2 linked regions of the Xenopus tropicalis genome follow. The protein of the gene in region 1 binds, or shares a complex with, the protein of each later gene. Links are inferred from orthologs where the notes say so. Each region holds a gene or a part of one and is shown in the gene's direction. Other genes may lie near its edges. The genes, in order: prkaa2 and prkag1.

The links.
Region 2: the proteins of prkaa2 (region 1) and prkag1 are in contact, whole or in part, in a crystal structure (PDB 6B1U), measured with the Homo sapiens proteins. The link is inferred for Xenopus tropicalis from reciprocal best matches to the Homo sapiens genes PRKAA2 and PRKAG1. Residues at the interface, in NP_006243.2 of Homo sapiens: Asp329, Asn330, Ile333, Met334, Ala337, Phe340, Tyr341, Leu342, His366, Pro367, Glu368, Arg369, Met370, Pro371, Pro372, Leu373, Ile374, Asn444, Val446, Thr447, Pro530, Arg531, Leu532, Gly533, Ser534, His535, Thr536, Met537, Asp538, Glu541; in NP_002724.1 of Homo sapiens: His36, Asp40, Leu41, Ile42, Pro43, Thr44, Ser45, Val50, Phe62, Leu64, Val65, Thr66, Gly68, Val69, Arg70, Trp75, Ser77, Lys78, Lys79, Gln80, Phe82, Pro158, Glu159, Ser160, Gly161, Asn162, Lys170, Arg171, Lys174, Phe175.

The regions. Positions count from the first base shown.
Region 1 is NC_030680.2:87,565,052-87,577,035, reverse strand, and holds part of prkaa2 (5'-AMP-activated protein kinase catalytic subunit alpha-2), read left to right. Parts: intron 1-220; coding exon 221-365; intron 366-1,773; coding exon 1,774-1,861; intron 1,862-3,195; coding exon 3,196-3,420; intron 3,421-4,588; coding exon 4,589-5,093; intron 5,094-10,975; coding exon 10,976-11,102; intron 11,103-11,984. UniProt on the Homo sapiens protein: Catalytic subunit of AMP-activated protein kinase (AMPK), an energy sensor protein kinase that plays a key role in regulating cellular energy metabolism.
Region 2 is NC_030678.2:136,343,168-136,355,151, reverse strand, and holds the start of prkag1 (5'-AMP-activated protein kinase subunit gamma-1), read left to right. Parts: upstream 1-928; 5' UTR 929-935; coding exon 936-944; intron 945-949; exon of another isoform or gene 950-969; intron 970-4,175; coding exon 4,176-4,230; intron 4,231-4,338; coding exon 4,339-4,445; intron 4,446-5,020; coding exon 5,021-5,102; intron 5,103-6,719; coding exon 6,720-6,778; intron 6,779-7,224; coding exon 7,225-7,270; intron 7,271-7,587; coding exon 7,588-7,642; intron 7,643-7,801; coding exon 7,802-7,928; intron 7,929-8,019; coding exon 8,020-8,185; intron 8,186-10,251; coding exon 10,252-10,289; intron 10,290-11,964; coding exon 11,965-11,984. UniProt on the Homo sapiens protein: AMP/ATP-binding subunit of AMP-activated protein kinase (AMPK), an energy sensor protein kinase that plays a key role in regulating cellular energy metabolism.

The DNA.
Region 1 (11,984 bases):
CACGATCAAAATTATATACCAGTGGCAAACTGCTGATACCTGACTATAAAATGGATAATGCTTATATGTTACCTTTTTCATTGGTATAATGATTAAGATGACAGAAAAGTGCCTTTAAACCAACGTATCTGTAAAGTTTAAACAAATATGTTTTTTCTTGACTGTAACTAACAACCTTATTAGGAAATCCAGTGCAATTCATTGGCTTTATCTGTTGTAGGTTGAAGAAGCAGAGGCAAGACGCCTTTTTCAACAGATCATTTCTGCTGTAGATTACTGTCACAGACATATGGTGGTTCACCGCGATCTGAAACCAGAGAATGTGCTGCTTGATGCACACATGAATGCCAAGATAGCTGATTTTGGTATGTGACTTCCCAAACATTCTAAGAATGTAGCCAGCAAACAGGTCATTTGTTGAAGGTTGTCAGTATACAATCATTAGCTGTGCAGGGATGTAGAACTCTGCAATTTCAGTTAAAATTCTTTTGTTATTAGTTGGAAAAACTGCCCATTGTTGAAAGAGAATTTATTTTATAAATTTGTTTTGTAGTCTAACCTTATAGAGAGCAATACATTTGCTGTAGGAACACAGCAAAGAAATTAAACATACCCTTGTTATAAAGATAGCCATTCCTGAAGCAGCACAGTTATCTATTATTGGCCAGCATAACTAGTTGTGCATATTTTGCAATAATCTCATTACATGACCTTGCAAAGGAATTGTTATGGCTAGTGCCCAATGGGTCTCTGTGTGTGTAAATAAAACAAGGCAAATTGTAGGGAAAACTGCCAAATAATACCTATGACAAATATATATTTGCAAGTTTTTGAAAATGTTAAAGTACATTTCATTGCAAGTATGCAAACTTTGTTATTTTTTAAAGCTGATAAAATGTGCATTTACAGGTAGTTTGTAATACAGGTATAGGACCTGTTATCCAGAATGCTTGGGACCTGGGGTTTTCCTGATAAGGATTATTTCTGTCATTTGAACCTCTGTGCCTTAAAGGAAACATATAGGATAAATGACCACCCCCCCCTAATCTTGGAGGCAGTTATGAATAATATGCATTATGATGCTAGTTTTACTTTGGGCTAAAAACTAATACCATCTGTAAAAATGACCTCTTTACTGGAGCTTCTTATAGATCCTCCCTGGTCCCAGTCTGTGTTTCAAACAAGGGGTGGTTGTGTACTGCCAGAGCATCAGTATGTGGGGGATAATCATAACCTTGCAGTCACACAAGCAAAGACAGACTTCAGTTTCCTATTTAGTCAGGTTAGCTGCTGATTGGTTCCTATCCTAGAGTGCTGAGTGCAACCAGCTCCCCTGCTCAGCTTGGGAAAGGAGGCAGCAGGAAGTGGCCACAGATGGGTGGGACTAGTAGGGTTTGAGGGGAATATCTCAGTAAATCAGTCCGAAACATTTTTTAAGTGCATTCCTTCCATATTTGGAGAAGTATAATGCATTGTCAAGCATTAATTATATCTGAGTTGGGATCAAGTACAGGGTACTGTATTATTACAGAGAAATAGGAAATCAATTTTAAAAATGTCAATTGTTTATTGAGTCTATGGGGGATAGCCTTCCCATAAAGTCAGAGCTTTCGGAATAACAGATGCCATACTTGTATTTCATTTGATATTCTGATTCTTTCCAGTTGTTTCACACGCTCACTCATGCTGCAACCAACAAAATGCATATATGTTGTATAATGTAAGGTAAGTGATCACACCTCTATAACTTATCTTGGAAATTGTTTCTCATAGGATTATCCAACATGATGTCAGATGGGGAATTCCTGCGGACCAGTTGTGGTTCACCTAATTATGCAGCACCGGAAGTCATATCGGGAAGGTAAAGTATTTTACTATACACAAAATCCGTGAATAACTTATGCAATACAGCCTGTTGAAGTTGCTTAGTCACGTCATTATATGGCGCTAAGGGGTGCAGCATTAATTTAGCATTGATAGGTAGAATTTGCTATTAAAGGAATTCTAACTGCAGTTTATAAATGCCAGCAGCACATGCCATCATAAAATAAACATGTAAGGTACATAATGTACATCATTTTTATTTGTATTTTTTTGCTTGTTTTTTTTTCATTAATTATTAGCTACAATTTTGTGCCATGATGGTGGTCCTTTTGGTAGAAGCTTGCCTTTCTTGTGGATATCAATGTAAATGTGGCAGTGGGCAGAACTTGTGTTTTGACTGCCATTACTGGATGGCGTCTGCTTCAGCACCTACATTGGTATCTTCTGGTGCCAGTCCAAACACCAGAGCCACCTGCTACCCTAGCTCCAGAGGGGATAAAGGGCATCTACTAATAGCATCCTTCCAAGTTACTTTCAGTCGGATAAAATGAGGAAAAACACTATTTTCTTGCACTATTATACACTGCTTGTTTTATAAAAAAGGTTTCAGAGTTGCTTTAAGGGCAACTAAGGCTGCAGGCAACCAGTGATTTATTTATAAAGGGCTGCCCTGTTTCTCATATACAGCAGCCCTCAGTTAAAAAAAAACAAAACTTTTATTTGAGCAGCAAAAGGTTCTGCACTGTAAGGTTTGTGAGCTTGTGAAAAACCCCCGCAGGTGATGCTGTGATGGCATATTCTGTGACTTGGGTGACTTTTTGTCCAAGCATAATATCCAAGTCTATAGTGATCTTAAGATCTACATTTAGTTATGTGTATATTTTTATATATTTGAGTATATTAATAGGTCTCTCTATATGTATATGCACTGTGAGTTATTTGGAGGGGTTGAACTTTTGTCTTTTTAACCCAAATTAACTATGTAGCATAAGTTATGCCTTTAAACCACATTCCTTTCAGTTTAGCAAACCTCCTGCCTGAATATTGGAACAAGTGACTTCAGTTTTCCTCGTACACACATACACTATGCTAGGTATTAGTATGATATCAGGTGGGAGAGCAGGGATAGACAAGTGGGCATGCTCAAATGCTTATCAGTACATTCAGACTATCTGTTGAAAAGATGGGTGCCTTTGAGAGACAATTTTCAAGGTTTATGAGGGATTTTGTTACGCTTCAAGTTGTGAGACTGTATTGGGAGAATGAGTTATTCTTATTTGGCCCTTCATAATGCATTTAAATGTAATACCATGCTTTTAACCTATTTCCAATTGTAGTGTATTATATTGTCTGTTCTACCTTTCTGTGTAGATTGTATGCAGGTCCTGAGGTTGATATCTGGAGCTGTGGAGTGATACTCTATGCTCTTCTCTGTGGAACTCTACCATTTGATGATGAACATGTTCCAACTCTTTTTAAGAAGATAAGAGGAGGAGTATTTTACATCCCTGAGTACCTAAACCGCTCTGCTGCTACATTGTTAATGCATATGCTTCAGGTTGACCCTCTTAAGCGTGCCACTATCAAAGACATAAGGTAATGATGCTCATGTAACAAATAATTTTTTATGCAAAACAGTTTCATACATACTGAAATGAAATACAGAAATGGTTCAATGAAAATAGTGACCAATGCTTAGTACAGGTATAGGATTTTTATCTGGAAACCCAATATCCAAAAAGCTCCATTTTAAACATATAAACAATAATTCTAATTTTTAAAATGATTTCCCCTTCTCTGTAATAATAAATCAACACCTTATACTTGATGGTAACTAAGCTGCAAAAATCCATATTGGTGGCAAAGCAATCCTGTTGGGTTTATTTAATGTTTCAGTAGCCTTAAGATATTAGAGAAAGACCCCTTTTCTGGAAAACCCCAGATTCCAAGCATTCTGTATAACAGATCCCATACCTGTATACCTCTGATATTTGTATGTAAGTGTTCTGTAGTTCTGTTTTAGTAAACAGCAGGTGGATAAGTGCTAGACACATATTGCTGTTCTGGCTCATGGCCTTTATTAAAAGGTTAGTTAGAATTAAAAACATGTTAGCAGGACAAAATGTGCCCCTGGTCTGACCCCAGGCAATGAGCAAAATGTGGTTTAGCCTTGATTTTGAATGATAAATGGAGGAGTGTAATTTTTAGGTCTGTTATGCTATGCAGAGCCAGTAACCATAGTAACGTATATCAGAGCATGAAATGTGGATTATGGATAATTTCACACATCCTGAAGTGGATGCCAGTAACATTAAGGAACACTTGTTCACTTTTTAGAAACTTTCAGCTGCAATCTGTTAAGTGACCTTTTCCCTTTTGCAAAGGAATCTGTGCTTGATTTGTTGTCGAAAATTTTTTTATGCACTTCCATCCATTTATTTGTTTTACCCAAATCTTAAGTGAGGTTTTTTTTGATGAAAAGTGTTATTTTCAGTAACTGTATCTGCACCGTTCAGGAAGTATGGTATAATTAAATACTTATACACTATATGAGACCCGTCTACTGCCTAGCTGGTGTTACTAATTGTCTTTGTAAAGTAGCTACGGATATAAATGAAAATAAAATGTTATTATAAATATTTTGATGACTTTGTGTTGTACAGAGGAGATGATGGATTAGAAGACTGAAGGTAGTTTTATTGCAGTTATGTTTTGGTTTCCATGCTTCAGTGCTATTCCTAAAAAATGGCATTTCTCTCCTCAGAGAACATGAATGGTTTAAACAGGATTTACCCAGTTACTTGTTTCCAGAAGACCCGTCATATGATGCCAATGTAATTGATGATGAGGCTGTGAAGGAGGTGTGTGAGAAGTTTGAATGTACAGAATCCGAAGTTATGAACAGTTTATACAGCGGTGACCCACAAGACCAGCTTGCTGTTGCCTACCATCTTATAATAGACAATCGAAGAATAATGAACCAGGCCAGTGAATTCTACCTCGCCTCTAGTCCACCAACTGGCTCATTCATAGACGAAAGCACTTTGCACATCCCACCTGGAGTGAAGCCACACCCAGAAAGAATGCCACCTCTAATAGCAGATAGTCCAAAGGCAAGATGCCCTTTAGATGCTTTGAACACCACCAAACCTAAACCCCTAGCTGTGAAAAAAGCCAAGTGGCACTTGGGGATCCGCAGCCAAAGTAAACCATATGATATTATGGCTGAAGTTTATCGAGCTATGAAGCAACTTGATTTTGAATGGAAGGTGAGTGTTAGTCCTAAAACTTGCATAGGAAATTGCACATCTAGACTTGAAATCCACATCTTTCAGTATTTTATATGTGTTTTCATGTCTTTGCAGGTTGAAGGCATGGGGTATTATGCATAAAAAAAATCAACCAATAACACATTAACAATTCTATCTTTCTAGGGTATTATAATTTTCCTAGTATGTAGTGTCGCATCCAGAATTATGCTGTTATGCATGTTTGGACTAATATGGATTTCTAGATATATGTGCTTTGTCTGTGACAAAATAACTGTAAGGCTACTGCCACATGTGGATGATTCTCGGCCTGCAGATAAACACAGGCCGAGAATCTGCTCCTTAAAGCTTCTTCATGTACCTGCTCCCGGACCATTTATTATGCATCTTCAAATTTTTGATGAATACCCAGGGCCGCCATCAGAAATCATGGGGCCCCTCACAATAAAATTTTCTGGGCCCCCCTCCTCCCATGCACCCAATGGCCACACCCCCAGTGACCCCTCCCATCAATTCAAATGACACACAGACATTGGTAGCCAGGGCCCCCCTAAAACATTGGTGGCCAGGGGTTACGTTTTGCATTGGTTCCAGTTCAGGGACTCCCTAAAATATTGCTAGCCAGCACAGGGCTCCCTAAAACATTGGTGGCCCTCCCCCAGTCTCCTCAACTATGGCCCGCTCCCCACTGCTTCCTCCAGCTCCCCCCCTGTGTCCCCCCCCACCATCCTTCTGCTTCCTCCCGGGCCCCCCAAGCAAACTCCAGCCCCCCCAGCATCCTCCAGGCCCCCCCCAAGCATCCTCCAGTTGCCCCCCCAGCATCCTCCAGGGCCCCCACAAGTTTCCTCCTGCTACCCCAGGGCCCCCCAAAAGCATCCTCCTGCTAACCCCCAAGCATACTCCAGCTGCCCCCCAGCATCCTCCAGGGCCCCCACAAGTTTCCTCCTGCTACCCCAGGGCCACCCAAAAGCATCCTCCTGCTGACCCCCAAGCATACTCCAGCTGCCCCCCAAGCATCCTCCAGGGCCCCCACAAGCTTCCTCCTGCTACCCCAGGGCCCCCCAAAAGCATCCTCCAGCTGCCCCTCAGCATCCTCCCAATCATCCTGCTGCTTTCTCCTGCTACCTCTGGCTCCTTCTGTGGCCTCCGGCTCCTCCTGCTTCACTTGCGTCTCCTCCCTGCGTCCTCAGCTATGTCCCACGGCACCCGCTACACCTGCGCTTTTACAAGGTTGTGCCCGTGCGTACGTGTGACGTCAGTACGCACGGGCCGCAACCTTATGAAAGTGCAGGTGTAGCGGGGGCCGTGGGACATAGCGCTGGAGGCCGCCAATGACAGTCGCAGGGCCCGGAGGTGTTTAAAGGGGGCCCGAGCTAAGAAAACTCTAGCACGGCCGGGCCCCCTTTGAAGTTAAAAATGCCCGGGCCCGGGACGACTGTGCCCCCTGTGCCCCCCTGATGGCGGCCCTGTGAATACCAGTATGGTTGTATCTAATGTGCTTAACTTACAAACTGCAGGCAGAGCTTATGTTAAAAGACAAACTTAACAGTAAAGGTTCAGGTTATCAGGGTGCTTATATCAGTGGTGTATTGAGGTGCAGCCCCTTTACAAAACTTGGTTTGCTATAGTACCCCACATGAAGTAGTCAAAATCATGTCTGTGCCCGATTCTTTAGGAGCAAATACCCTGCATCTGTTGACACAGACCACTGTCAGAATCTACCTTCATGGTGGTGGTAGTTTTGGAGTTCCCCTACATCTATAGGGACAGTGTGCTTGATAGCATGAGGAGGCAGGACAGATCCACTGGCTCTGATGCGAACTATGTGAAGGTACAAATGGAAGCTTTGGAACCAAGTGCCTTCAGTTATTTCTCAAAGTGGTGCCTGATAAATTAGCTGTTTTATTTGTGTTCATTTCATAAAATAATGGAGAAAGGCAAGCCATTGCCTCCCCAGTGCCAGAGCTAACAGATAAGTTGGCAGTAGGATCAGATTGACTATTTCATGAAGAACTGTGTGTGGGCAGAAAAGGCCCAGCTGTCAATAATAGGTATAAAGGTATGCATTTAGGTCATCATCTGGCCACTGCACTAGCAGGCCTCTAACATCTTTTCTCCCAAGGAGCCTTGGTATTGACCTAAAGATCCTGCTTATAACCTACAGTACTCCTTGCTTATGCAGCCCTTCACATGACAGTGCTTGTCTTCATATTGTTTAAATGCCTAATCTGGCTCTACTATAAGCAGCCATTTATTAAATTGATTTTTTTGGTTTCTCATATTTAGTAACAATTTACATGTTTTTTTGTTGTTGTGTCTAGAACAGTGGCTTATACTGTATTATGCAGTTATCTTAACTTGTCCCTGTACAGACTATAAACAATCTTTCGCTTTTTTTAACTTTTCTCTGTGCCTTCTGTCTTTCATCACAGTTGTGAACACATCTTCCAACCCCAATCCATACAGCAGTTACTAGGAACAGTCCTGCAGCAAAAAAGACATTACACATATTCTCTTAACATGGACGTGTCCTAGCTGTTAATGTGCACCCAGACTGTAGGGGATTCTAATAAATCTATTTGCCGAACAAGTTTTATTATTTTTCTTACAGTCTCTGAGCTATAAATAGTTTATTAGTTCTCTCACTCAACCAAATATTTTTCCTGCTGCAGACACATCATTCATGGTGTTGGTTGTGAGATGGATTAATTAAACCTCCCCTACAGTTTAGTGGATTTTTTATTTGTAGTGACAGTTCCTCTCTAATATATATCCATTACACAAACACTGTACGGATGATTTACTAATATTTGGAATTATTTTGGCATTCTGGAAGTACTTATGTGAAATATTTTTTTACATAATTTAAAAAGTTGAGTTTGGAACGGTGTTCTGTTATATAACATAAAACTATTTGGGATTTCCTGAAATTTACTAAATCAGTTTCAGTTTCCTTTGTTTTAATTTGCTATTGGTGGAAACTTATAACCTGTTGCAAAATTTTAACAGTTTTACAGTTGTGTTGCCTAAAAAGTCTTTCCTGCTCCAAAGTGATGTGAACTATTTTAACATTATAGCAGGTTTTTCTAGTATTTTAAAACATAAACATTTTTAAAACATAAGCAAAATTTTTGCGAACTATTGTAGAGTGCCCCAAAAACATTTTTTTCCATTATGAATGCATAGGGAAAATGTCTAGATGCAGAAAATACACCCATAAGTGTCATTATCGAATTTGTTGCTTAGAGACTTAAGATGATTTTTGCCATAATTTTTTACTAAATTACACTGTTTATTCTTGAACCAACAAATGTATTTTTTTTTAGTTGTGATATTGGTGTGTAGGCAGCCATCTCAGTGCATTGAGCCTGAGTCTGAGCTTTCAGAAGGAGCCAGCGCTACACATTAGAAATGCTTTCAGATAACCCAGTGCTATTCAACTTCTGTGGTGCCGAGGGCTGGAATTTCTCTAGCATACATGGTGGAGGGCTGCTAATGGAAGCCAGTTTTGACCACTGCCCCTTTTTAAACCACACCCATTTTATCACAATGGTGGTAGTGCAGCAAAAACCCAAATGCTTGGTTCTTACTGCAGGGATATCAACCGTCATTCATATGTCATATTAAGACACACTCTTAAATCCATATGCCTCCTCCTCCCCTGTGGATAGCACAGCAACCCCCAGCACATAATTACACACCTTAGGGACCATTTAATGGCTATTTCTAACTGCTAACAAACTCCCATTACATTTTTAAACAGTTCAGGGGGATTACAGCCTGAATCTGAGGTCAGAACCATGCAGGGGTCCACTTAATCTTAGTACTGATACCCTTTAAAGCTTTCACAAAGGTAAGCCACCAAAGCAGCCAGACAGGTGGGGGGCCACACAGAGGGGGGTCACGGGCTGCCAGTTGGACAGCACTGAGATAACCTACTGTTTCTCCTCCCATGTAACTAGGCTTGTATTTCTTACTATTGAGTGCTATTCTGATATCTACTGGGAGCTGCTATCTTGCTACCTTCCCATTGTTCTGATGATCGGCTGCTGGGAGGGGGGTGGTGTCACTTGCAGTTCAGCAGTAAAGTGTGACTGAAGTTTATCAGAGCACAAGTCACATGACTGTGGCACCCTAGGAAATGAAGAATATGGCTAGCCCCATGTGAAATTTAAAAATTAAATATAAAATAATCTTTGTTTTTAAAAAAATGGATTTCAATGCAGGATTCTGCTGGAGGTCTATTAACTGATCCGTTTTGAAAAAAAAAAAGGTTTTCCCATGACAGTATTCCTTTAACATATTTAGAAAAAAAGAGCTAAAATGCTCTAAACGCAAGAAAAATGCAGAATTCTGACACAAAACCCCACTTTTTTTTTTTTTTACTATGAAATGCAATTGGTAAAGCCAAGACATAACTATTTTTTGGCTAATTAATGCATATTATGTTAAAGGAAAACAATACCCTTAAACAGTGTAGGTCTCAATAAAAATATATATCACATAAAGAATCCCTTTTCATAAAAATATACTTTAGTAGGATGTGCTATTGGGTAATTCTAAATAGAAAATTGCCATTTTAAGTACTATGGGCTGCCCCCTGGGATCATACAATTCACAGTGCACACAAACAAAGGGCACGCATACATCACACATTAGGTAACATCAGCCAATTAATTTTCTGTCTTTTTTTGTAATTAAGTTCTGTCTTTTACTCCCACACTACTGCCTGTTACAGTTAGAGCTTCATTACCATATATACTCGAGTATAAGCCGAAAACTGGAAAAACTTATTGACTCGAGTATAAGCCTAGGGTGGGAAATGCAGCCGCTACTGCTAAATTTTAATAATCCCCCCCTGTGAACTCTTCATAAATATATCATGCTGGCAGCTGCAGATTAGGGAAAGGTGATTAGGGTGGATGGAGGACCCTTTGACCCTCTTGCCTTGAAGATTTACAGCACTGGGAAAGACAAGATACATAAGCCTGAACCTGGGTGTGGAGGCTGATCTTTTGGGGGTAGCCTGATCCCTCTCTTTTTAAAGAGTTAAACTATCACAGAAAGGCTGGCTGACTAGCAATGGATCATCATATCTGCACTGTGAAGGGCCAAGGGAGGAAAAAATGGTAAATATGGCCCATTGTGCTACACAGGTAACCTAATGCAGGTAAACTAATGCCTAATGACAAAGTTCCAGCCACGTATAAAGCCAGAGTGCTTCAGTTAAGCTGGCCATAGGTGCTTATATTTGATTGGACCAAGACTAATTTTGAGCATATTGCCCAACCATCTGGATGTACAGTATATGGCAGGTAGACAACCAGATCAGGGAAGCTCAGCTTAACACAGGAATGCTGTCTAACTGTCTGTAGGAAGAGTTAAGTCAAATACCTAATACCTAGTGCATTGTGTCCTGAGGCAGGAGCTGAGCAGCAGATTGTAGAACACTGTCGCAGAAGTGGTATATGGATTCGAAGATGGAACGAGCTTGTTGTGCGCAATCCCCCCCCCCCCCCCCCGCGTGCAAGCGTCCATCCTCGGGGGGGGGGGGTGCACACAACAAGCTCGTTCCATCTTCGAATCCATATACTCGAGTATAAGCCGAGGGTTAGTTTTTCAGCACATTTTTGGTGCTGAAAAACTCGGCTCATACTCGAGTATATACGGTATTTACCGTCAGGTGATCTCTGAGGGAAAAGATGGCAATGAGATAACAGATGTAAAAGTGAAATATTTACTGATATATATTCCAATTTGATAAGAGTCTTTATTAGGCCACTTAATATGATATAAATTATTTGTTGGTTAAGTATTCATTTAGGTGGTATAGTTTTCCTTTAAACAAAGCTGCGAGTCTAACCAAATCCTTGGTACCTTAGGTAGTTAACCCTTATCATCTCCGTGTGAGAAGAAAGAATCCAGTGACTGGTACTTATGTGAAAATGAGTCTGCAGCTCTACCAGGTTGATAATCGCAGTTACCTTTTGGACTTCAAAAGTATTGACGGTAAGACAGAAATCCCTTTTATAAAGGCCTAGTGATTCTTATTAGGACTGTGACAGCCTTTAGCTCTCCTGCTGTTACTTAACTGTAACTCCAACCAGCCCCTGACAACTTTCAGCCTTCAGTGGTTCCTGGGATTTGTAGTTCAGGAGCAACCAGAGTACTACTGGAGTCTTGTATCTTTATACATGAGTAAAGTAAATATGTTGTTGCGCAACAGATTTAGCAGCCAAGGAAAGGGTGCTGCATAGGTACCATAATGCTTTTATTTTTGCTCTTGAAACTATATTATGCAGGCACATGTGCACCATTTGTGTATAATAAAGGAAAACTTGCTATTCAGTTTTTATGTTGATAAACCTTTTACCCACAACTTTTTTAAGCAATTCCGGTAGCATACATTTTAAGTGATTATTTTAATCTAAGAGCATAAACTAAAGACAGGCTGGAGCAGGATCAGAAGCATAGGAGGGAGACAGCCAAAAAGAAGCCTCAGACAGGGAAACAAGGTGATAGACAGGGACAGTCAGAGGGTGACAGCAAGGAAGGGCACATTGACTGACAAGGCAGGGACTGACAGAGGAAAATAAAACAAGAAGCAAGATTCCAACAAAAGGGAGACAGATAAAATGTCAAGGACAGGCCAAGGTTAGGGTTTGTGGCCAGGAACAAACCATTATTCAGGACTGGAACAGGTGAGAAAACACACTCACTGAAGCAGTTAGAACCAAGGACAACACAGTGTGTTATATATATAAAACCCGCCACTTACTACATTAGGCCACAAGTAGGGCTAATCTCACAAAATTACACCCTTTGTTGGTCCTGACAACTGGTTTTAAAACCTTCCAATGTAATATACAGAGCAAACCGTTGTAATCATGT
Region 2 (11,984 bases), on another chromosome or scaffold:
AAATTATTCCTTTTTTTAAAAAAAAAAATGAAAATAAAAACTTGTACGTGGCATGTTTTGTATTGAATATAATTTTGAAATGTATATAATTTATGTGAAAGGGGGCAAGTAAGAGAAGTCTCATTTGCTTCTTTTGGTTTGTTTTTAAAGGACAAATAAAATGCATTTTAAATACATTATGGCCTGTTGCATTTTTTATTCATTCATTTGCTAATATACTAGTTTTAGCATGGGCGTATCTGCAGGCCTGCAGAGTTTTACCAGGTTGGTGGGGTTTCAGTCAAGTTGGGCCAATTTTATTTAAATGCTAAATTAAAGTTCTAGCCTGTCTACTAATTTGGGCTACTTTTGCACAATTTCAAAATACACCAAATTTTATTTTGTATTTTCTGCTAACAATTTATTTTACTGGTCCCTTATTTAAAAAGTTAATTGCCGGCTGCATGCTGGATAATGTAGTTTTACTGTAGGCCCAAGGAGGCCAGTATAGGCAGGGCACATCAGTACACAATGGGCATAGAAAATGTCAGGGCTGGTCTTCAATGGAGGGAAGCCTCAGAGTATGGGCAATTTTTCATTATGAAATTTGCGATGTATATAGATATATTGTACACGCAGGGTGGTTTTTTTAATCCATATAAAGCTATATTAGGGTATATAGGAACGAAAATATATAATTTGCTTTTGTATACACTAAAAAAAAAAATAGACGGTATTATATGGTAAAAAGAAAATCGTGTGTACGGTAAGTACTGTATAAACATAATATAGCGTTCTACACAGTAAGGACGGTCATTTTATGATGCCCCAAATAAAGATGGCTTCTGCGGAAACTCAGAAGAGCATTTCCTCTGCAGCGTGACGCACTGTGGGCGGAAGCGAACGTACAAAGAGGGCGGAAGTGGTCTAAATTAGTCACGGATGCGGAGGCCGCCATGGAACCGGTGAGCGGCATGAAAGTTGAAACATGTATTGTATTAAATAGAAATTAACGTAGCTCTAGCTGTCTTGTAGTGCTTTAAAGGCTACATGTAATATTACGGCTCTGGCGTTGCTAGGCACAGCCTGGATGCTTGTCACTTTATCCCTGTGGGCTTTGGTAAAAACACCAGGGTTATGAGGAAACGCTAGAGCAGTAGAACATGGAAGTGTAATAGAGAATAGCAGAAATGTACTGCTTGCTGCTGTCCTGTTGGAAATGAATTGCAACTATCCGCGTCATCGGTCTGTCTGATCCTTAGGTTTACCGATCAGCTCAAGTTGGTAGTGGAGAAGTTATATAGTTAGAATTGCACTTTAATAACGGTTTCTTCGCTTGCATACGTGACAAGTCCAAATGCTAATTAAATGGATATATATAATATATATATATATATATATATATATAATTGTATATAATGTGTGCTTCTCCTGCTTATAAACGGGCCATTTGTTGGACCATGGCCCTTTGGTACAAGCGTGCCTACAGTTGCATTATATCAGCTTGAAAATGTTCTGAAAGCTTGCTATGATTATCTTAGTTAGCCAATAAAGGTATCACCTTTATACCCCTTTTGTTATTTTTTATTTCAAAAGGGTTACCCTGTAAACATTTTTTGACTGGCTAACACAGTACATCACCTTTTCCTGCATGTACAGTTGCATTGGAATGCACCATCAGTCTGTACATAGGCAATAGATTCCCCTGCCTTTTTCTCTATAGAAACACCTCACCAGCATGTGCTGTATTGCAAGTATTAATGTATCATAAGTAGTCCTGTTGCACAACTAATGTGCTGGCTGCCCTCATTCATTCCTCTATTTACATTGTCCCTCTGCCCAGCTGGTTCCTTTTCCTTTCCTTTTTCCTGTTTTTTTGTTTTTCTGTTAGATGTTCACACCAATTTAGAAAAAAAGGAACTATGGTTTTCTTAATATATTCCCCAAACCTTCACCATTCTTTGCTTTACATTCCTAGATACTTACTTTTTACTTATCAGCTATTTATTTTCAGTCTCTCTTTATCTTATTTGTCCCCTGAGCTTTTTCTTTTTATAAAGCTGGTACCATTTGAGAGATTTCTCCTGGGAAAGGGAGGGGTGGTGGGTTACCTGTCCGAATTAGAACCAAGTGTTTGTTTGAAGAGATTGAGCATGAGGCAACACAATAGCAGTTTGTACTTATTTTATCAACTAAGTAACCGCCATGCCTTATACATACAAACACAGAGTACTAATGGGAAGATCTGTAATATTTTATGTGAAATGCTTTATGGCACTGCTAGATAGTGAGACTATATGGAGAGCAATATGGCTATGTAATGCAAAAGTTAAACTTCCTGTGCTCTGAGTTGATCTTATGATATACTGTTGGGGTGGCTCACCTGGAATCCACAGCCGTATACTTCTGATTATTTGTGCTAAACTATAACCCAAATTTGTTTTGGAGAAATTGGAGAGGCCATTTTGGCAGTCCCCCATGTGAATGCAATGTATTCTGCCAACAGTTAGCTCCAATCTGTTGATGCCACTGAGGGACTGGAGTCTCATCCAACAATTGTTCATGTTCTGCCCTATGGATTGCTAGGTAATCCACCCTAGTGTCATATTAAGAACATGGGAGAAGTAACTTATTTTAGGCAGAGAAATGAATACTAATGACCATCAGATGAGGACATCCCTCTAAACGAACAGTTAACTTCCTAACCCTCTGACTGCCTGATGGCTGTAAGTGGGTATTGCTTTGACCATCAAATTTACACTATCCACTTCTAACTTTGGTGTCTGTAATGTAGAGTCCACTGGTAGTTAGACAGTTAAAGAGCAAGTCTGGTGTATAGGGTTATGGGAGCATGCAACATAGCTGTGTTTTATTTAAAGGGGCTCAGTTTACTATGTATACTTCTTTTTAAAGTGGCCCTGCTGTTTTTTTTTTTTTTTTTTTACTATCTCCTGGACCCTACAAGAAAGGGTATATAGCAGACATCTGAGTACTCATTAGCTTTGCCTCACCTCAATGAAAAGTGTCTATTTTTTTCGTTTCCCTCAGTAAAATATTTTCAGTTGTTCTTCAGTTTCAACTCCCTTAAATGAAGGAGTCAGTTCTTTACTTAACAGGCCAAACTGATAGAGAGCCATTTATCAACACTGGGCAGTAAGCCATATCAACTAATCTGTTATTAGCTTTTTTTTTTTTTCTTCAGCCAGCTGAAGGTAGAACAAATAGTCAAATGGTTGCCATGGGTAACTGGCCAGGTTCAAAATAAATGAGCCCCAGAATGTAAGTTCTACTCCCACAGTACTGTCATGCTTTTTGCGCCTTCAGTCTATTGATATTTTATTTCCATAAATCAGTATCTTGCCTCAATAATGAAACACTATTATTTGTATCTCCCTTTTTATTGTTACTCTATTTTAAACCTTGTACTTTGAAATAAGTGCAAATATGCATGCTATTTATTTGTTAGTTGAATGGGATATTTTTGCTGTGTTTTTTTTTTAACTTTTTTTGTGTTCGTTGGTTGGCCATTGAGATTTTCTGATATTTATGATGTAATTACTCTTTGCTGAATAAGAAAAAAAGGAAAAAGATGTCTGTGCCCTTTTTTGTGCACATGGACTATTCCTTTTTAAATGTATTTTTTAAACTTTAATGCTGTGATTTCTAAACTGTTGAGTTTGGTTTTTTTTTTATTTTGAGGTTTTTTGCACTTAAGTTCGAAATTCGAGTTAGAAACGCAAATGTCTGGTATTTATTAGCTTACGAGTTTCTATAGAAGTCAATGGGAGTTGTCCTAGGCAAAGTCAAGCCATATTGTTGTATTTGAGTTTGTAATTCGAGATTATGGGTTATATTCGGGTTCAAACTCAAGAATTTGAGGTTTTTTTTAATCGCCCAAGTTTACCACTTTAATAAATAAGCAAACAGTCGATATTCAAATTTAATTGATTTAGAAAAACAAAACAATAAAGTGCTAAGATTAAAAAAAAAAAAAAAAAAATATGACAAAGTACAATTAATACTACCCCTAGGGCCATATTGTGTGCACCACAATTTACTGTGTGTGTTGACCTTAAAATGTTAGGCCAGCACACAGGGAACATTGCAGTAGGGTAGTAACTACAGTAATGTTTCTATAGTCTTCTTTTAATATATGTTTACATTTTTCTGAATTGTAATATCTCTTAATGTTTTAGGGTTCTGTTATGATCGAAAGCAATATGCAGGAGAAATGTGAGCCTGCTTCAGATGGTAAGTACATTTGTAGTAAGCAATACAAAAACTAGAGTAGGGTGGCCATGGAAACTTTTCTAATTGTAGTACATATTTATTTTTAATTTTTCTCTATTTCATACATAGTTCTGGAATCAGACAGTGGAGTTTACACGCGGTTTATGAAGAATCACAAATGTTATGATCTCATTCCCATCAGCTCAAAGCTTGTTGTGTTTGATACATCCCTGCAGGTGAGATCATTTTGTTTTTCTTGCAGTAGAACCAGTATCATGTGTTTTGTGACCTTGGCTTTAGCTGGATGCTTCCCAAACTGGGGGGACGGCTAAGGGGGCCCAGCTTGAAGGACAGTAAGGGTCTCCTAGTTGCTCCTGGAAGTCCTGCTTCAGGGTCAATTAGGGCAAGAAAACAATTGTTTGCTGCCCTAGATGTACTTGGAACTGTGTCTAAAGGACTGATACAACGGTGTATTCATATACAGGTATGGGAGCCCTTATTTGGTTTCCTGTTATGCAGAATGCTTCTGCTGGGAAGGCCATCTCTTTCCTGTAATAATAATAATTCTCTGTAATAATAAATCAGTGCCTTGTACTTGATACTAACTAAGCTGCATAAATCCATACTGGTTGCAAAATAAGCCTTTTTAATATTTGTAATGTTTGAATGCTTTTTGCAGATATTACGGTATGGTGATCCAAAGTTAATAGATCCTATACCAGTATCTGTAACCTTGTAATGAGGAAGCTTGAATAATAAAAAGGCCACAAATCTATTGCTTTAATTATTCAAACCTCTCTTAAATTTGCAGGTGAAGAAAGCATTCTTTGCTTTAGTCACTAATGGAGTAAGAGCTGCGCCACTCTGGGATAGCAAAAAGCAAGGCTTTGTAGGTAAGTGTCTAATAAAAGTATCATGTTAGCATGAGACATGAATATCCTAACATTTCTACTAAGCTGTCTTTCTTTTGGAAGCAGAGTATTCTTTAATCAACAAAATGGCTTAAGTTTTTGATTTGTTCACAAATCACCAAATAAAACAAAGGTGTTCTGTTATTTTCAGTTATAGCTCTCACATTAACCTCTCGGCAGCAGCTGATCATACCTAGCCAAGCAAATGTACATGTTGGATATCATCTGTGTAACTGTAATTTCTACAACTAAAATGTGTTTTGTAGGTCTGTGTATTTATTAGTAATATTAAAGAATATGTAAACCTTTAAAAATGAATGTAACATTGATCAGGGTGCTTTTTTTAAGCACTTCTTTAATTTACATGGTTTGTTTTGTTGTTTCAAAGCTATTAAGCTGTTGTTTAACTTGTAATAAGTTTTGTTAAAAAACAAACAAACAGTGCCACCTACTGGTCAGTTCCTCTGTATGGTCTTAGAGAGAGAGTTCAGAAGGGAAACTGAGAACTCTCTGAAAGTTGCTCTGCTCATATGACCTTCCATTCTGTTTCCTAACAGACTTAACTATATTTCTGTAAACTGAAGGGTGGATTCTTACTTGTAGTGTTTGGTAAGCATGTCTTTGTTAAGGCTGATGCCTCGCAGAGCGATAGATCTTTCCACCAGCAACAACAGGAGTCCATAGTGGAAAGGCAATTGCTTTGGTTGCACAAAGTTGCCTGCAGGAGGAAACCGCAAAGGCCTTTCCATCAGCAATTCCTATTTGTGCCAGTGGACAGGCATTTTGGAGCGGGTGACTAACATGCTTCATGAGAGATCACCCTGATGGGATACTGCAGTCTCAGAATGATAAATCTTTGTAAATAATTGTACCTTATAGACAGACAGCTTCTTTGGATGAACATTTGGCATATGCTATCCTCAAATAAAATATCACATCGGTTTCTTTATTGTGTGTTGGTAACCTTTTCACCATTTAATCAGCGCTCCTGGTTAAAGGAGAACTAAACTGAACCCTAAAAATAAATATGACTTAAAATGCTGTATTTTATATACTGAACTTACTGCACCATCCTTAAGTTTCAGCATCTCAATAGCAGCAATGATCCAGGGCTTCAAACTTGTCACAGGAACTCCCCATCTTGTCCTCTGAGCGGCTGTTGAGAAGCTAAGCTTAGGGGTTGTTGCAAATAATTAAGCACAAAATGTGGTTCACCTGTAATATAAGCTGATGCTACAGGGCTGATTATTAAATTTGTATGCTAATTGCACTGATTTTAGAGCTGTCATGCACTAATTATCTGTATTATTTACAAATCAGCCTATATTGTGACATTTACATTGTATATATACAGTATATTGTGCGTTGGTTCCTAAGCTCAGTAACTGACAGCAGCCCAGAGCATGTGCAGTGAATCAGCAGAAAAGAAGATGGGGAGCTACTGGGGGCATCCTCAGGGGCACAGATCTTCTATGATAAAGGGCTGAGGTTATCTTGGGCTGGTATAGGAGCCCAGAACATAATGTTCAGTATTTCTAACCTACTTCTTTAGTTCTCCTTTATATCTGACCTTTCATCTTTTTAACTTTCCTAATATAGGTATGCTAACCATAACCGATTTCATCAATATTCTCCATCGCTACTACAAGTCACCAATGGTGAGTTAAAAAAGGTGCATCTAGGTATATTTTACAATCTGTTCTTTGTCATTACAGTGGTAAGAGATCCTCAAGTGCATTACTTACATTATATGATATATTATAATATTTATTATATGTTTATTAAACTTTTTAAAGAACACTCTGTCAGGTTTACATTGATCTTTAAATTACTTGCTTACAGGTGTACATTAAATGATTTTGAAAGAAATTCTGTGTTCATATTGTAAGGAAAATAGGTAATTCGAATATGTTGGTGCTTTATAAATAAATGTTAATGTAATGTAATTCACAGAGCAGAAGGTAGAGAGAACAATTCCTTAAAGATGGTACCTAGAACTTTTAGCAATTCAAAGAATGCAACACTGTTTAATGCGCCCTTCTCAGTACAGGTACAAAGGAATCTAAGTTGGAGTTATTCGTTTCATCTAATTTTTTCAAACCAGGTGCAGATTTATGAGCTGGAGGAACACAAAATTGAGACATGGAGAGGTGAGTCTGGATACAGGCGCATACACATGAGCAATACAATTTTTAGTGAATGCAGGATAGGCCTCCACTTTTCACTTATTTTACATATCTGGCATGTTGTACTGCTAGGCTTCATGAAGAAGGTACTGTATTTATTCCTGCATTTACCAAGAGGACCCACTATAACAGCCAACATATTAGATAACAGCAAGTGGCTGTTCATTTTAGGCTTGCAAATGAGTTGTTCAATCATATATTTGCATTGTGAAGTGATCAGTCTGCAAGGGCTTTTGTTTTGTTAATGTTCTGATCTGGATTTTTTTTTTTGTTTCCCCTAGAGCTCTACTTGCAGGATTCCTTTAAGCCTTTGGTTAGCATTTCACCCAGTGCCAGGTAGGAGCCAAGACACTGTTGCTGGGATGGTCCGTGATCTGAGAGCCTAATTGCAATGTTTCATATTAACTATTAAATTACCATGTGCCATAAGACTATTGCAGGGAATATTGTAAATGCACTGAGAAAAGTCTATCTTTTTCTTCCTTTTGTCCTTAGTCTGTTTGATGCTGTCTCATCACTGATAAAGAACCGTATACACCGTCTTCCTGTAATCTCTCCTGACTCAGGGAATACTCTGTACATCCTGACACACAAACGCATCCTGAAATTCCTTAAGCTTTTTGTAAGTCTTGCTCTATTTGTATTATTCCTTTGGCTTCTACACACAGACCTCATTTCATCAGAATTTCTTATTTTATATTTTCAATGAGAAGATGTCTGAAGTTGAGAAACCTGCTTTTGTGACTAAATCCCTAAAAGATCTGCACATTGGCACTTATGAAAATATTGCCCTTGTTCGCCCGGACACTCCTGTATATGTTGCTTTGGGCATCTTTGTGCAACGGCGGGTGTCTGCTTTACCAGTTGTGGATGACTCAGGTTAGTGAAGGATTTCAGAGACAAGTTACAGTCTGTCATTTCCTCCTGTTGCTTTGTAGCTAACATGAGGTACAACAATGTTCCAGCAAATGTTCTGAATTTAGCATTATCCACTTCCTCTATAGGTGCAATAAAGAAGTAATTGATATTGAACAATATAAGGTGTAAAGGAAAATGCCTGTCTCCCAGGGCACTTAGAAAACTGGAAAAATGCTGTAGCATGTCATATATACTCTGCTTAATTAAATCATTGTAAGGATAAGGCCCCACGGATTGTCAGCTTGCATATAAGCACACACTGACACATATGCCCTTACGCTTGAAAAATCTTATTATTGTGCCTGAACACAGAAGCAATGAATCCACCTGGGTGCAGGCACACTCAGCCAATATCTGCCTACATACGCCAAGTCTCGCATTAATTGGCGGATATCGACTGCGTGTGCCTGCACCTGGGCAGATTCAGTTTTTCCGTGTGCAGTCACTATTTGAAAACGTTTTTAAGTGTATGGGCAAATTATCAGTCTGTGCTTATATGCCGGCTGACAGTCTGCCTTGTGGGGCCTTACCGTAACTCTCCTTGCTTCCTAATTTGTAACTCTGTTAAATTGCTTAGGGGAGGTATACGTCCTTATTTAACAAAAGCTCAATATATACAGTATAGGGCTTGTACTTAAAAATACTGTTTGCCTTTTTATAATTAAGAAACATCACTTTCTAAATTTCTCTAACAAATAAACCGTTTCCTGGTTTTGCCAAGCAGATCAGAAACTGGTAAAATGAATTATCAGTCCACAGAAAAGCCTTTTAATGAGCTGCTTAGGGAAGGGAGGTGTTTGTTTATTCAGGGCTCCTTATCTTACTTTGAACAAATGACTCTAGGGGGGAGTGAGTTCAGTGAAAAACAGACCAATTTTTCATTAATGCTTCTTTGTTAAAATAAGAATAAGAAAAATCTCCTATTTATAGTTCTCATTTTTTTTGCAAAGATATATGAGGGGGGGTATACTATCTCATTAAAGGAACAGTAACACCAAAAAATGAAAGAGTTTTAAAGTAAATGAAATATAATATACTGTTGCCCTGCACTGGTAAAAGTTGTGTGTTTGCTACAGTAACACTACTATAGTTTATATAAACAAGCTGCTGTGTAGCCCCGGGGGCAGCCATTCAAGCTGGAAAAAAGGAGAAAAGGCACAGGTTACATAGCAGATAACGGATGAGCTCTGTAGAATACAATAGTGTTTTATCTGTTATCTGCTAAGTGCCTGTGCCTTTTCTCCTTTGAATGGCTGCCCCCATGGCTACACAGCTGCATTCTTTATATAAACCATAGTAGTGTTTCTGAGGCAAACTCACCAGTTGAACCAATGCAGGGCAACAGTACATTATATTGGAATTTCTTTCATACACTTGAATTTTTTGGTGTTACTGTTCCTTTAACAGGTGACACTGTATAAGACATAGCACACAAGTGAGTGTCATCTAATATATTCTTGTCCCTTCCAGTCCCCTGGCAACTTCCTATGTTTGTTTTTCAGCCACCCCGTCAAATTTTTCTAGGGATGCACCGAATTCTGCATTCGGTTCGAGATTCGGCCAAATCCAGGCTTTTTTTTTTTTTTAAGGATTCGGTTTTGCCCGAATCTGCGGTCCCGGCCGACCCGAATCTGAATGCTAATTAGCATAAATTAGTATATGCTAATTAGCATTAATAACCATATGCTAATGAGGATTGGATTCGGTTCGGGATTCGCACAAATCCTTCAGAGTGGGTTCAGGGGTTCGCCAAACCCAAACCCATGTTCATGAGTCAAACTCTACTATAGGGGCTGATTTGCTAAAACCCCAATAAAGTACTACAATGCCATTACCTATAGTAACTAGTCAGATGTTGTAGCACTCATTTTACTAAACAATCCCCAAAGTCTCTTGGATTTTAGGAATCTGCTATTCATAGCCACATTTTAACACATATCTTTAAGTAGTGTTCTTATATTCAAGCACTTGCCCTCTTGCCATACTGTATTGGCCAGGAATTTAGTCACTTTTTTCTTCCCTTACAGGACGAGTTGTTGATATATATTCCAAGTTTGATGTCATTGTGAGTACCACTTAAGCTATTGCTTTTGTGTTTAATATGTGAAAAGCAAGTGTGTGCGTGTGTGTATATAAATATCTAAAAATAATATCAAATTATCAGTATATTAAGGACATTGAGGCATTTTTTGCATTAAGCTACTAATACATGCCCTTCCCTTTAAACAAAACAGGGATTGTTTTTCCATATATTGTAATATATTCAAAGCCATCCCCGGTCTGGCCAGTCCTACACTCAATTTCATCTGATTCATTAAGAATTCTACTGCTTCATTGTACGTTTTTCACAGAGACTTGCTTTGCTTTTAAGGTTAAAATTTCTAAATGGTTGCCCTTTTATTGGCCATCACTGGGATCACCTGACTGTAGCTGGGGGTAAAGGGAATTTCAATGTGGCACTGGTCACTGCTCCTGTATAAATTATAGCAAAAAGGGAAGGTTGTGCGCAAAGACAAGAGACTCTCTGCACATATCCATTATAATAAATATATGAAGCACATTGAGACATTTTGTGTATAGAAATAACCTTTTTTTTAAAAAAAAAAAAAAAAAAAAATCTTTAAAATTACTCTAAACAACAACATCCTGCATGCCGTCTGATCTGGTTTCTGACTTATAAATTGAAATCTCCAGCTCCTTTCCTCTACTTCCTGTTACAGCGTGAAGCCCTGTTCCCTCTTCCTGCTTAGCTCTCATTATTTCTTATATTCACAAACAGAAAATCTATGTACCCCCAAAAAAATTTGACAGTGTAGTGAGTTCTAGTTCAACACCACCATTGAATCAATTAAGATGCAAGTGCAAGCAATCCATCAATACAGTGATTTAATCCAATTCTAAAATCCTGTTGATTTAACTGTGGCGTTGAACTATAACTCACTGCACTGTCAAGTTGCAAACTTTTTGTACATTTTAAAGCAATTTATAGGTATTGTTGAACATGGAATGCTGGTATGTGGTTTTCAACAGATATGAATTATGATTTGAGTACATAGACTTTCTTTTTGTGAAGCACTTTCATAAGTGCATTTTTATAATGCCATGTCACGCCCTGCCTCTATGTCCAGAGATCCCGGGCAGGCCGTGACATGGCAGCCCTATCCGTGAGCCATGCAGCCATGAATAGGCACAGAAAAAAATGCTGCTGCAATCTGGCTCCTGCTTCTCTGTGCATTCCCAGAAAGCCTCTTCTCTGTCAGGCATGCCCAAAAAGCTCTTCTCTTCGACTATCCTGTAGTCAAAGAGATAAAGAGAGCTCAGCAGGAAAATGGGGATGGGGCTTTGTGCTGTATCAGGAAGTAGAGGAATGGAGCTGGAGATTTCTACTAAAAATTGCCATCCCCTTTAAACAAAACAGGGATTGTTTTGTCCACATATTGCAATGTCTCCCTCCCTCTATATATATTCTTGTATGTGATAAGCAAGGTTATGCTGTGTATGATTGACTCCTGTGAGTTTGTTTCTTGTTATTTTTTTCTAATATTCTCACAGGCTTTATGTCCATGTTCCCAAAGTGCATTCCTTATACCAGCTACCTATATACTTCTACAGTGAAAGCTCAATTTTACATACCCTAATTTTTCCTCAATTTACCCGTTTTTTGTGGTCCCACTAATATATAATGCCTAATGCATTGTCCTAATTGGACTTCTACTGTAATTTTCTTTTAAATGTCTTAGAATCTGGCGGCTGAGAAGAC